Linked DNA regions of Astyanax mexicanus. The protein of the gene in region 1 binds, or shares a complex with, the protein of each later gene. Links are inferred from orthologs where the notes say so. Each region holds a gene or a part of one and is shown in the gene's direction. Other genes may lie near its edges. The genes, in order: histone deacetylase 2, sin3b and mta1.

Region 1 (3,754 bases):
TTAACCAGGGGGTGCTAAACTGCTGTCCTGCTTACAACTATAAGCAATTAAGATGAAACATAACTTTGTAACTTTGAAATATGTAGAGCTATTTTTTTACTAAATGCATTAATGTTTGCCTGTAAATAAGATTTTCGTCTTGCATATAAACAAACACAGTATATACAAAAGTAACACAGGTTAGTCTGCATTCTACACATGTTGAACCCCCCTGACTGTTAATAAGCTGAGCTGTGAGATCTAAAATGGGGATTTGATCAAATGTAAAGTTAATGTTGGTGATTGTTTAATGATGAAGTGTACTATACATGATGCCCTTCTTGTGTTCCTTAATAATTAATTCTGACTGAATTAATCACTATAATGCACCACTCTCATAATACAGTACAATTCAATCAGTCTCTGTTTTAATAGCTTGACGAGGTGGACAGCACATTGTATATAATGAAAAATAAATAATAAATATAAATAATAAATATAACATAAATGTAATAATCTGTCTATCCAACTATGTGTATAACTGTATGTACATCTATCTATATCTATCTATCTATCTAACTGTATGTACATCTATCTATCTATCTATCTATCTATCTATCTATCTATGCATAAATATTGTGTCTCTAATAATTAGTGTTATCTGGCTAATATATCAGATTCAACTGCGCCTTATCAGCAGTTTGGCTGGGTTGGATCAAGACTAGATCACTTTCTCACCATGATGCAAACCGCTCCAGAGCTTTTTTTGGGACTGAACTGAGACCAGATCCTCATAGTAGGTTTTATCTGCTTATTTGGATCCGTACAGGTGCGACTGCTGTTTTCACACCTGCTCAATCAAACCGCACTAAGAGTACAAACGAACCAGAGTCTGTTTTAACCTAACCAAATAGTGCTGGAGTGAAAACGCCCTCAATGACAAAGTATAATTTTTTTTGTGTCATTTGTTTAACTGGGTTCTCTTATCTACCTTTTATGACGATGTTTCAGGTCGCATTTATGCAGAAATATAGACAATTTCAAATTGTTCACTATTGTAACTTTCAAGCACCACTGTGTCTTCAAATATAGGCCAAACTAGCTAACAGCTAACTGTAGCCTATCAGAGTAACCCTGTAGCCTATCAGAGAGCGCTGGTGCTAAGCAGGCCCCGCCCTCGATTAGAATAGGCCCCGCCTCCTCCTTCTCCTCCGTCTCCGTGCTCCTCATCAGCTCTGTAGTTACCTGTCTCTCTCCACCGCTCCTGCTACATTTTAATCTGTATTTAATCTAATCAGCGCGCTCTGGTCGCGGGGATCGTGTGTGTGGAGCATGGCGTTCACTCTGCAGGGCACCAAGAAGAAAGTCTGCTATTATTATGACGGTAAGAGGGAACGGAGCGCTGCTCAGGCCTGCCCGCCAGAGAGAGAGTGATAGAGCGAGCGAGAGAGAGAGTGAGGGGGATAGAGAGAGGGATAGAGGGCCTGGGGGAAAGGAGTAACGTTAAATGGGTACAGGGACAGAAAGAATAAACAGAGACAGTAAATATAACCGGGTGTGAGAAATCCTGATTAAACCTCAGCTATTCTGAATGTGGGTTCTATTAGCACTAGTGCTAATGCTAACTGGCGCTGCGCTTTTGTGTCTCGTTGTGGGACTGCAGCTCTCTCTCTCTTTCCCTCCCTCCCACACACTCTATGTACCTGTTACACATACACATCACACACACACACTGTATTATTATTTATTTGCGAGGTTGCAGTTGGTATCGTATTGAACAGCCTTTTACTAATTTTCAGTTCCACCTTAAATTACGGTCAGTTAGCTAACTAACTAATGTTGTGGGCGACCGAGGCGACAGAGTGTTAAGTGGTGCACTATTTAAGGTGGACTGGAAAGATCCGAAGCCAACATGCGTGTAGTAACTACTAACGCTAGCTAACGAGGCTGAAGTTGGTTTGATATTCGCAGCTCCAGATTCGTTTGGCTCGATATTCGCAGCCTCGTATTCCCCGGCTGAAGTTGGTTTGATATTCGCAGCTGCCGCTTCACTGAACCACCGTGAACTAAAGGGAGCGTTCACAAACACCCGCTGTTTATATTAAACACCTCACAGATCAACACTGAAGGAGATAGAATGAAGAAAAGCAGTACATCTGTTTATTAACAATGTAAATATACAATATCGTATTAAATGTAATTTTGTATATTGTAAAATATTTATTTTAATTACTGAATTTATAATTATATATTACAATAAATAATTAAATATATATTTAATAAAATTATATTTTAAAAGCCATTGCGCTCAAAAAATATGAGGCAGATGTTCAAGTGTGATTTTGAAGAACTTTTTCATGTTGGGCCAGAACAAATACACATGATCTGAAGAGTACTAGTCTTCTTCTTTAAGGAAAACCTGGAATTAGCCTGGCCCGAGCTGATTTTATACTTTAAAATTAACTGGCAACGTGGCCTACCGATCCATAATGCACAAAAAAATTGAATATAAAGCTGATGTTCTAGTGTGATTTTGAAGGACTTTTTAATCTTGGGCCAGAACAAATACACATGATCTGAAGAGTACTAGTCTTCTTCTTTAAGGAAAACCTGGAATTAGCCTGGCCCGAGCTGATTTTAGACTGCACAATTAATTGGCAACATGGCAGCACAAAAAAAATATTATTTAAAGCTGATATTCCAGTATGATTTTGGACTTTTTTTTCAGACCAAATACACATCAGATGAAGTGTTCTGGTATTCTCAAAATCAATGCTTTATATTCATTATTTCTGTGCAAAATGGCTTTCATGTCATGTTGCCAATTCATTTTAAAGTATAAAATCAGCTCGGGCCAGGCTAATTCCAAGTTTTCCTTAAAGTAGAAGACTAGTTCTCTTCAGATCATGTGTATTTGTTCTGGCTCAAGATTAAAAAATTCTTCAAAATTGTACTGGAACAGTGGCTTTTTTGTGCAAAATGGCTCGTTATACCATGTTGCCAGTTCATTTTAAAGTATAAAATCAGCTCGGGACAGGCTAATTCCAGGTTTTTCTTAAAGTAGAAGACTAGTACTCTTCAGATCATGTGCATTTGTTCTGGCCCAAGATGAAAAAGTCCTTCAAAATCACACTAGAACATCAGCTTTACATAAAAACAATTGTGCATTATGGATCCGTATTCCATGTTGCCAGTTCATTTTAAAGTATAAAATCAGCTTGGGCCAGGCTAATTCCAGGTTTTCCTTAAGGTAGAAAACTAGTACTCTTCAGATCATGTTTATTTGGTCTGGCCCAAGATTAAAAAGTCCTTCAAAATCACACTAGAACATCAGCTTTATATTCAATTTTTTTGTGCATTATGGATCGGTAGGCCATGTTGCCAGTTAATTTTAAAGTATAAAATCAGCTCGGGCCAGGCTAATTCCAGGTTTTCCTTAAGGTAGAAGACTAGTTCTCTTCAGATCATGTGTATTTGTTCTGGCCCAAGATTAAAAAGTCCTTCAAAATCACACTAGAACATCAGCTTTATATTCAATTTTTTTGTGCATTATGGCTCGTTATACCATGTTGCCAGTTCATTTTAAAGTATAAAATCAGCTTGGGCCAGGCCAATTCCAGGTTTTCCTCAAAGTAGAAGACTAGTACTCTTCAGATCATGTGTATTTGTTCTGGCCCAAGATTAAAAAGTCCTTCAAAATCACACTAGAACATCAGCTTTATATTCAATTTTTTTGTGCATTATGGATCGGTAGGCCATGTTGCCAGTTAATTTT
Region 2 (3,754 bases), on another chromosome or scaffold:
TTTCAAGAACTTTAAAGGTATCCTCAAGTGCAGTCGCAAAGACAATCAAAAACGTTATGATGAAACTGACTCTCATCAGGACCACACCAGGAAGGGCAGAGCAAAAGTTACCTCTGTTGCACAGCACAGGATAATTTCATCAATGTTACTAGCCTCAGAATGCAGCCTAAATGCTTCACAGAATATGTTGGTTGTGCCATATAGTATTGTAAGCATTAATAGTGCCAACATTTTTGAATATCATGAATGATATTATACCCTGAAATATCGTGCAATATCACCCACCCCTAATAATCACTTTTTTACTGCTGTTTTTAGCAAAAGACAAATTCACACTGTTCTCATTTGCCATTATATTTCTACTAGAGACAGATTATATCTGTCCAGTATCATTTATTGTACTTTAATGCTGCATATATGGATATATTTGGAGTGCATTATTAGTATCATGACATTCTGGATTATTATTGACTTCTGTTACAAATCTGATAAATTTCTGTAATTTTTAATATCTCAGTTAGGGATGTGCCATATCATACTGTATGCAATAACAAAATTTAATTTTTATTTTGTTGCAGTAATGTATTCTTGAAATATTCTTTTTTTATTTAGTGTTTTGTCATATCGCCAAGAGTATGAAATATTGTGATCGTAGTATTTTTGGGCCATATCGCCCACCCCTAACGTGACTACAAGATTCCTCCTAGTTAAAAGAATAAAAAATGTAAAGTAACTTTTTGAAAAGTTTTAAGGTCAAATATTCAGATAATAATCCTAAAATTAAAGTGATTAAGCTGGAAAATATGATTTCTGTGTAGTATGAGGTTTTCTAATAGTAAAAAAAGACGTTTTTGAAGGGCAAAATGCACAGTATTCTGATAATAACACTACTTGAATACACCATGTATGGCAACAGTTAACTTTTTACATTTTGACCACCCATTTCCCTTTCCACTTTCACACAAAGACAATGTATATGCTTATATTAGTCACTAATAAACCGTCATACATCACTGTTATATCAGCCATAAACACTTTATTGATTAGTCTGTGGTGTTTTGTAGTGTGTATTGATCACTAATATTTATTGACACTTCTGAGAGGATAGCATTAGCATTTGAAACGACACCTTCACTCATCCGGGTACCGCCCGCCCCGCACGTCTGTAAGCCCCGCCCCACCGTGTAGGCGCATGCTCGGTGCGTTCTTCCACATTCGCTCCGCTGCCGCCGAATTTAAAGAGACAGGAGACAGTTTTTAAAAATAACATTTACAAACTGAAAATCCGGGAGTAGTCTTTCTCTTCTATGCTTTTTTAGTTCTTCAGCTCTCCCCCGCTTTCTCTGGACCTTTTCTGGTTAGTAAAGCCGTGCTTTAAACGCTGTAGTGGTTCCTCTCTTCAGTTTGAGCACAGCGGTCCGCTCTGCCGCTGCTGGCCGGGGTTGGAGGCACTCTGCGCGGTCTGAGCGGCGTGGGCGCTCCGCTGTCTGGAGCGCTTCCCTTCCCTGCTTGTTTTTTTCCCCTGCCCTGCTTGTTTTGTGGGCAGATACGGAGGGAGAACGTGTGTCTTCGTGTGTGTAGCTGTTGGGGACGATGGCGAAAATCCAGGCTCACAGCAGCACCAAGCAGATCAACCCAATAAACCAGGACAAGGCCTTTTTGAGCGCCCAGAAACAGCAGCAGCAGCAACAACAGCAGCAGCACTTCCAGAAACTAAAGGTAAGGAAAAACGGGGGTAAATGAAAGTAAGTGTAAGTCGATATAAAGTGGCGCGACCAGTTTTGAGTAGTGCTGTGTTATTTCTTTCTCTGAAGTTCTTGCCCATTCTTCAGTTTCTTGTGCGATTTTTCCCGTTCCACCTTAAGTGTAGTAGCAGTTACATTCTGGCGTCCGGGGGGCGCCAGAATAAAACTGCGGCAACATTTAAGGTGGAACGTACAAACTCGCAACTTCAGCTTCTTTTAGATTTTTTTCTTTCTTTTTTTATTCGTATTTGCTTAAGGCGTATATAATATACACATATAATCTATTGACCAGTTTTGAACATAGCTATTAAAAAATGTAGCTATATTTCGTACCATATAAAACGACCCCCTCGTTATAGTATATGTTTTTAGCTGGGTAATCTAAGTGCTGTAACGTTAGCATAGCATAGCTATCGCTAACGAACCTAGCTAGCAAAGCTAACCTAGGTTAGCAACCTCTTATTAGCTTGCCTCTCTTTGTCTTACTTTCCCAAAGCTAATGCTGTTTGCTTTGGCAGCTTCCAAAACAAAAAACAGCACTTATAAACCCAAAAGACTTTCCGAAAAACCTTTACTTTAACTTAAATACAGTTTAATCTCATTTAAAAAGAGCTTCCAGATCCTTCTCAGTTGAGTTAGCCGGTTAGCCACTTGCTGAGTTGCAGTGCTTTTGTGGGGATGCGCCTTGCTAAAAGCACAATAAAACCAAATTCTGTTGAATTTAATGCAAAATTCACTGTAACGATTTGTTTTAATTGACACTTGAGTTATAAAGTTGCTGGAGACCCTGAGAACTGAAGAAGCTGAAAGGGTTTATCTCGTATGAAGGTTCTTCAGTGCCAGAACTGGTGGTATTGTTTTCCTGATATATCCATCAGATTTCTCAGGGTGTTTGATTTGTGAGCTGATTTATTCTTGTTTAACGTTAGTTTAGACTAACCGAGATATGTTAAAATTAGGACTATTTTGTGCCACAGTTTATATATGGTGCTAATATAAAAAAGCTGCTGCAAGGAAATTAACAAGAAACTTGAACCTAGCTTGAAGCACCTTGTACAAACACAATACACCATATTTTGGTGCATTTAACTTTTCAACTCAACATGAGAACTGAAAAAGCTGTCTTGTATAAGAAAGGTTCTTTGGTGCTAGAACCGGTGGTATTGTTTTCCATCATAATTTTCAGGGTGTTGAGCTGTGAGCTGAATTATTATTCTCTAATGTCAATTTACCCTTATTTTGGTTAGGTTAGGCATAAATGCTGTAGCTGCTGCAAACAAGTAAACAAACGTATACATACATACATACATACACACATACAAACAAAGCAAGCACCTTATGGTTTTGATCTTTTTTATATGTCTATAGAGCTCTGGAAAAAATAGGAGACCACTTTAGTTTCTGAATATGTTTCTCTGATTTTGCTACTTATAGGTATATGTTTGAGTAAAATGACCATTGTTGTTTTATTCTACAAACTATTGACAACATTTCTCCCACAAATATTATTATTTAGAGCATTTACTTGCAGATAATGAGAAATGGCTGAAAAAAAAGGTGCAGAGCCTTTTAGACCTCAAATTGTGCAAAGAAAACAAGTTCATATTCTGAAAGTTTTATGAGTTCAGAAATCAATATTTGGTGGAATAACCCTGGTTTTTAATCACAATTTTCATGCATCTTGGCACGTTCTCCATCAGTCTTACACACTGATTTTGGATAATCTTTTGCCACTCCTGGTACAAAAATTCAAGTAATTCAACTTGATTTGATTGCTTGTGATCTTCCTCTTGATTTTATTCCAGAGGTTTTCAATTTGGTAAAATCAAAGAAACTCGTTATTTATATGTTGTCTCTTATTTTCTTCTCAGAGCTGTATATCAGCTGTCTGGCAGATGGGTTTTACCACATGAAATATCAATATGATTAAAGATTTACTGTTTCTCTGTCCATATCTTTTTACTTTTCTGTGTAGAGCTGATTAATATGACAATTTATCTTATTGAATC
Region 3 (3,754 bases), on another chromosome or scaffold:
GGTTTGCGGTTTTCCCGCCAAATTGGGCTTGTTTGAAAATCCAGTCGCGGGTGAAAATTCAGTGGTGGCGGCTGCCAAAAACGTCAACACGGTGGGCAAACATGTAGAGGTTGACACTAAAATCAATCTTCCTTGATTAACAACAACCATAAGAATGAGGAGAACATAACGACATAAGGGAGGACAGCAGGAGAGAGAGAGTAACCAGAATGTAACCAGACGTAAAAACCACAGAGTAACCAGAAATCACAAGGCGATGAAAAAAAAAATGTTAAAGAAGAGAAAAGAAAGTTCAGGAGGGGCAAGAACAGAAATTAGTAAGTAAGTAAATTATTATTTTTGCTAACTATGTTACTATCAAATGTTATGGACTTTGATATAAACTGTTATAAGATAACTAATAAAACATTAATGTTTCAAAATTATTAATGACTTTAAGATAAATAGCAATCCTGATAATAAACACCTTGTAAAAAAAATCAAACAAAGTCGTACACTCATAGTTGTTCTGACATTTGCTTCAAACGTGTGACAGACAGATATTTTGGGCTAGTTCAAGCTTCTGATTTTGGGCTGGATATTTTTGTTGGACCTGGCAACATTAGTGGCACTGTAACCGTTGGAACTGGAACTGTTCTGTAGAATACAGTCAGCTAGCGTTAACTAGGTTAGGTTTTCGTTTTTGTGTTGAAGAGAGAGAGGGATGGAGGGCTGTTAGGGAGATGGTGGGGTGTTGTAGGGCTCGGGAGGGAGAGCTGAGGGGGGGTTCCAATCTGAAAGCAACAGTTGTTTACTTTGTTATTTTGCCTCTAGTGGGTCTGAAGTTGTACAACAGCGATTGTTTCGGTATTTCCGAGGGAGGCGGAGACTGAGCTGGACGGTGATGCTCGCGGTCTCCACCTCCTCCGCCTCTCCTCCTCTCTCCTCCCTCGAGTCTCTCCTGACCGCCAGCCCGCTTTCTCCCTCCCTCCGGCCGCCCCGCTTTGTTTTCGCGCTCTTACCGAGTCCCTCAGCTGCTCTGTCCCGGCGCGAGTCTCCGAGTAGCGCGGTGAAGCAGAGTAGTGAAAATGGGCGCACTGTCTCTTTAAGATCCCCTGACTGCTCCGCTTCGTATTGATCAATCCACCATTTTCCAACACACTCAGCGGCGGAGGCAGTGCTCGCGACGGCGTGAGGAAGCCCTACCTGGAGCCACCAGGACGCGGGGCAGTCATGGCAGCCAACATGTACCGGGTCGGAGGTAGAGAGCACGTTTTCTGCCTGTCTGTGTCTCTGTGTTGGTGTATGTTTATCCCTCCCCTGAGCGGCGGCCTCGGGTATATACAGCGTTATAGAGCTAGTTACAGTTCAGAGCCCAGAGCTGGAGCAGCTCTCCGTGTCCTTCCTCTTTATTTCCTAAAGCTGGAGTAGAGAGAGCCTCATGCTCTGTGACCAAAGGAGGATGAAGATGATGATGAGGAGCGGGATAAAGATGAAGAGTCTAACTAACGCTAGCTGCTTTCAAACCCCCTCCAAAATGTGTCGTTTAGCTAACTTACTTTCTTAAAACTGGAGTATTCTAGCTTAGCTAACCTAAACATAGGTTAGTAACTTAGTATTTACAGTGAGTTTAGCTAGGTTTACTAGTTAATTAACGCCAACTAACTAACCTAGCTAGCAGCTCTGCAGTCCTATACCCCACCAGCAAACAGCCAAAGCTCATAATTCCCCCAGAACTGAAGCTTTTTACTTAAGTTTTCAAGTTTTTAAAGAAACCTCACATATCATGTAGCATGTTTAAAAAAAGCTGACTAGCTTAGCTCATAGCTTAGTTGCCAAGTAACGGGTGAGTTAACCAGCTAACTATCCAGACATACGTAACTTAGCTATGGGTTAGCTAGCTTAGCCTAATTACTTAACGTTAATACTAACGTTAATTACTTCTCAGCCACAAGAAGTAACGTTAGGGAACGTTTGGTTGAGCATGGAAGTAAAAAAAAAACTATCAGACAGTAGAAAAGCTACGAACTGGAGTACTTTACCGCTGTTAACCTGTTCCTGAACGAGGAGGTAAACAGAGAGAAGTGAGCCGTGGTGGAAACGTGAGTCCGTCCTTAATTAGTTAACTAACGCTGGTCAGGTTAAGTTAACCTAGCCTTCTTGTGTGAAGTAGTACGTTAGTTAAGTTACATATAATTATAAAATAAAAGTATTGAATAGTTCAATTTTTTCAATTGCTTTGAAGCAGGGGTGGGCGATAACAGTTAACGTTATATAACTAAAATAATATCACAATATTTCGGTGTATTTTTGCGATAAAGATATTCTTGGCGATATGACAAAACATTGATTTTTATTAAATAATAATTTTAGCAACATAGTTACTACTACAACAAAATAGATATTAAAGTTTTATTTAGTCTAAGCAAAAAATATATAAACAATTGTCTGATTCGTAAAACAGAGCCTGGTTTTGTAAAAGAAAAAAAAAAGGTGTAATAAAAGTAAAGTAATGGAACTAACACAAATATACCACAAAACTAAAGTGCAGCATATGTAGTGCATATAAACTGTAACCATTAAAATACTCGCTGTTTTAAATCCCGTTCATGCAGCTTGCCATCAGCTACAGGAGCCCTGAGAGAGCAGGGCTCTCCTTGCTCGCTCTGTGGGTAGATGGAGCTCTTTCCCCACATCACTCCAAAGGGTGATGTTGATCAGCACAATTGTCACAGATATTATTGTGAAAAATTATATATTGTCTTTATAGAAAACAACCATTGATATATTCAGCATATAATGGTACAATCATAAAATAACACCCTTTTAGAGAACCATACACTTTTAAAATGAATAATAGTCTAGGAGAGAAGTGTGTTTTCCAGCAATTCGCAAGTTTAAAAGTTTGCCCTATATGTTTTAGTCCTGTTTTTATTGAGTAAATACAGTGGTTGGTATCAAGAACAGCAGAACTTAATAAAGTCAAGAACATATAATTATGGTGACAGATGTAATGAATACCATAAGTAAATTCAGTGAAGACTTTTTAAAGCCTAGAATGATGTTGTGAGCAGAAGAAATTAAGTCAATTTCGAATCCCTCTGTAATATTTTGTAGCCATTTATTATACTAAATTACGTGTCAAAAACAAGTTGGTAGTTTTCTGAGAATGTAAACTTCCCAATTTAGCTTTTTTAAAGTTAAATTGGGATACAGTTTAGCAGTTGAGTAGTGGAACATGTCATCAGTTAAGACTGTCTTTTTCCACCTCAGTCTTGGGGGAGACCCCCTACCCTGCCAAATATGGCACGAGTCTTCCTCTTACAGTTCATTGTGGTCCGGTTTCTGTCTCTTGAAGTTTTTGATAGTGAGCTAGCTTTGTATGTGTTTTTTGTCATATGTAGTGAATTGGAGATGATGCTCAATTATACGTTATATAAAAACATTTTCACAGTACACAGTATTTATCATCTTTTGACATAAAAAAAAAATCAGTATCAGATTCTGCTGTTCAAATACTCTTTCATGAATGACGATGAATTTTATTGTATTTTTGCGGCGCATCATCTAATCTAACTGAATTTTCTTAAAGTATGTTGTCCATGCAATAAGAAAATTTATGACAATATGATAAAATTAATATAAATATTTATGTATAAAATGGGGACTAATTAAACAGTGTTTGGCTGTACAGAATTTTAGAAGGATATCTTTCTTTAAAAAGTAAATAAAGACTTATTCTTGGTTAAAATGTTTGCAGACTTGCTAGTCCAAA

Evidence for each region.
Region 2: the proteins of histone deacetylase 2 (region 1) and sin3b are in contact, whole or in part, in a cryo-EM structure (PDB 8BPB), measured with the Homo sapiens proteins. The link is inferred for Astyanax mexicanus from reciprocal best matches to the Homo sapiens genes HDAC2 and SIN3B. Residues at the interface, in NP_001518.3 of Homo sapiens: Lys9, Asp19, Gly21, Asn22, Tyr23, Tyr24, Gln27, Gly28, Pro30, Lys32, His34, Arg37, Tyr46, Gly47, Arg50, Lys51, Lys59, Thr66, Lys67, Tyr68, His69, Ser70, Asp71, Asp100, Asp105, Gly106, Glu109, His142, Lys144, Lys145; in NP_056075.1 of Homo sapiens: Ile397, Gly398, Ser399, Ser400, Tyr401, Pro411, Lys412, Cys413, Ser414, Gly415, Arg416, Thr417, Ile419, Cys420, Glu422, Val455, Leu456, Asn457, Trp460, Val461, Ser462, Phe463, Pro464, Ser465, Trp466, Ser467, Glu468, Asp469, Phe472, Lys476.
Region 3: histone deacetylase 2 (region 1) and mta1 share a complex: the UniProt entries of both Homo sapiens proteins name them as parts of the nucleosome remodeling and deacetylase (NuRD) repressor complex. The link is inferred for Astyanax mexicanus from reciprocal best matches to the Homo sapiens genes HDAC2 and MTA1.

The regions. Positions count from the first base shown.
Region 1 is NC_064408.1:38,907,265-38,911,018, forward strand, and holds the start of histone deacetylase 2, read left to right. Parts: upstream 1-1,168; 5' UTR 1,169-1,311; coding exon 1,312-1,363; intron 1,364-3,754. UniProt on the Homo sapiens protein: Histone deacetylase that catalyzes the deacetylation of lysine residues on the N-terminal part of the core histones (H2A, H2B, H3 and H4).
Region 2 is NC_064419.1:9,138,837-9,142,590, reverse strand, and holds the start of sin3b (paired amphipathic helix protein Sin3b), read left to right. Parts: upstream 1-1,169; 5' UTR 1,170-1,593; coding exon 1,594-1,719; intron 1,720-3,754.
Region 3 is NC_064421.1:24,341,303-24,345,056, reverse strand, and holds the start of mta1 (metastasis-associated protein MTA1), read left to right. Parts: upstream 1-854; 5' UTR 855-1,212; coding exon 1,213-1,240; intron 1,241-1,879; exon of another isoform or gene 1,880-2,081; intron 2,082-3,754. UniProt on the Homo sapiens protein: Transcriptional coregulator which can act as both a transcriptional corepressor and coactivator. Acts as a component of the histone deacetylase NuRD complex which participates in the remodeling of chromatin.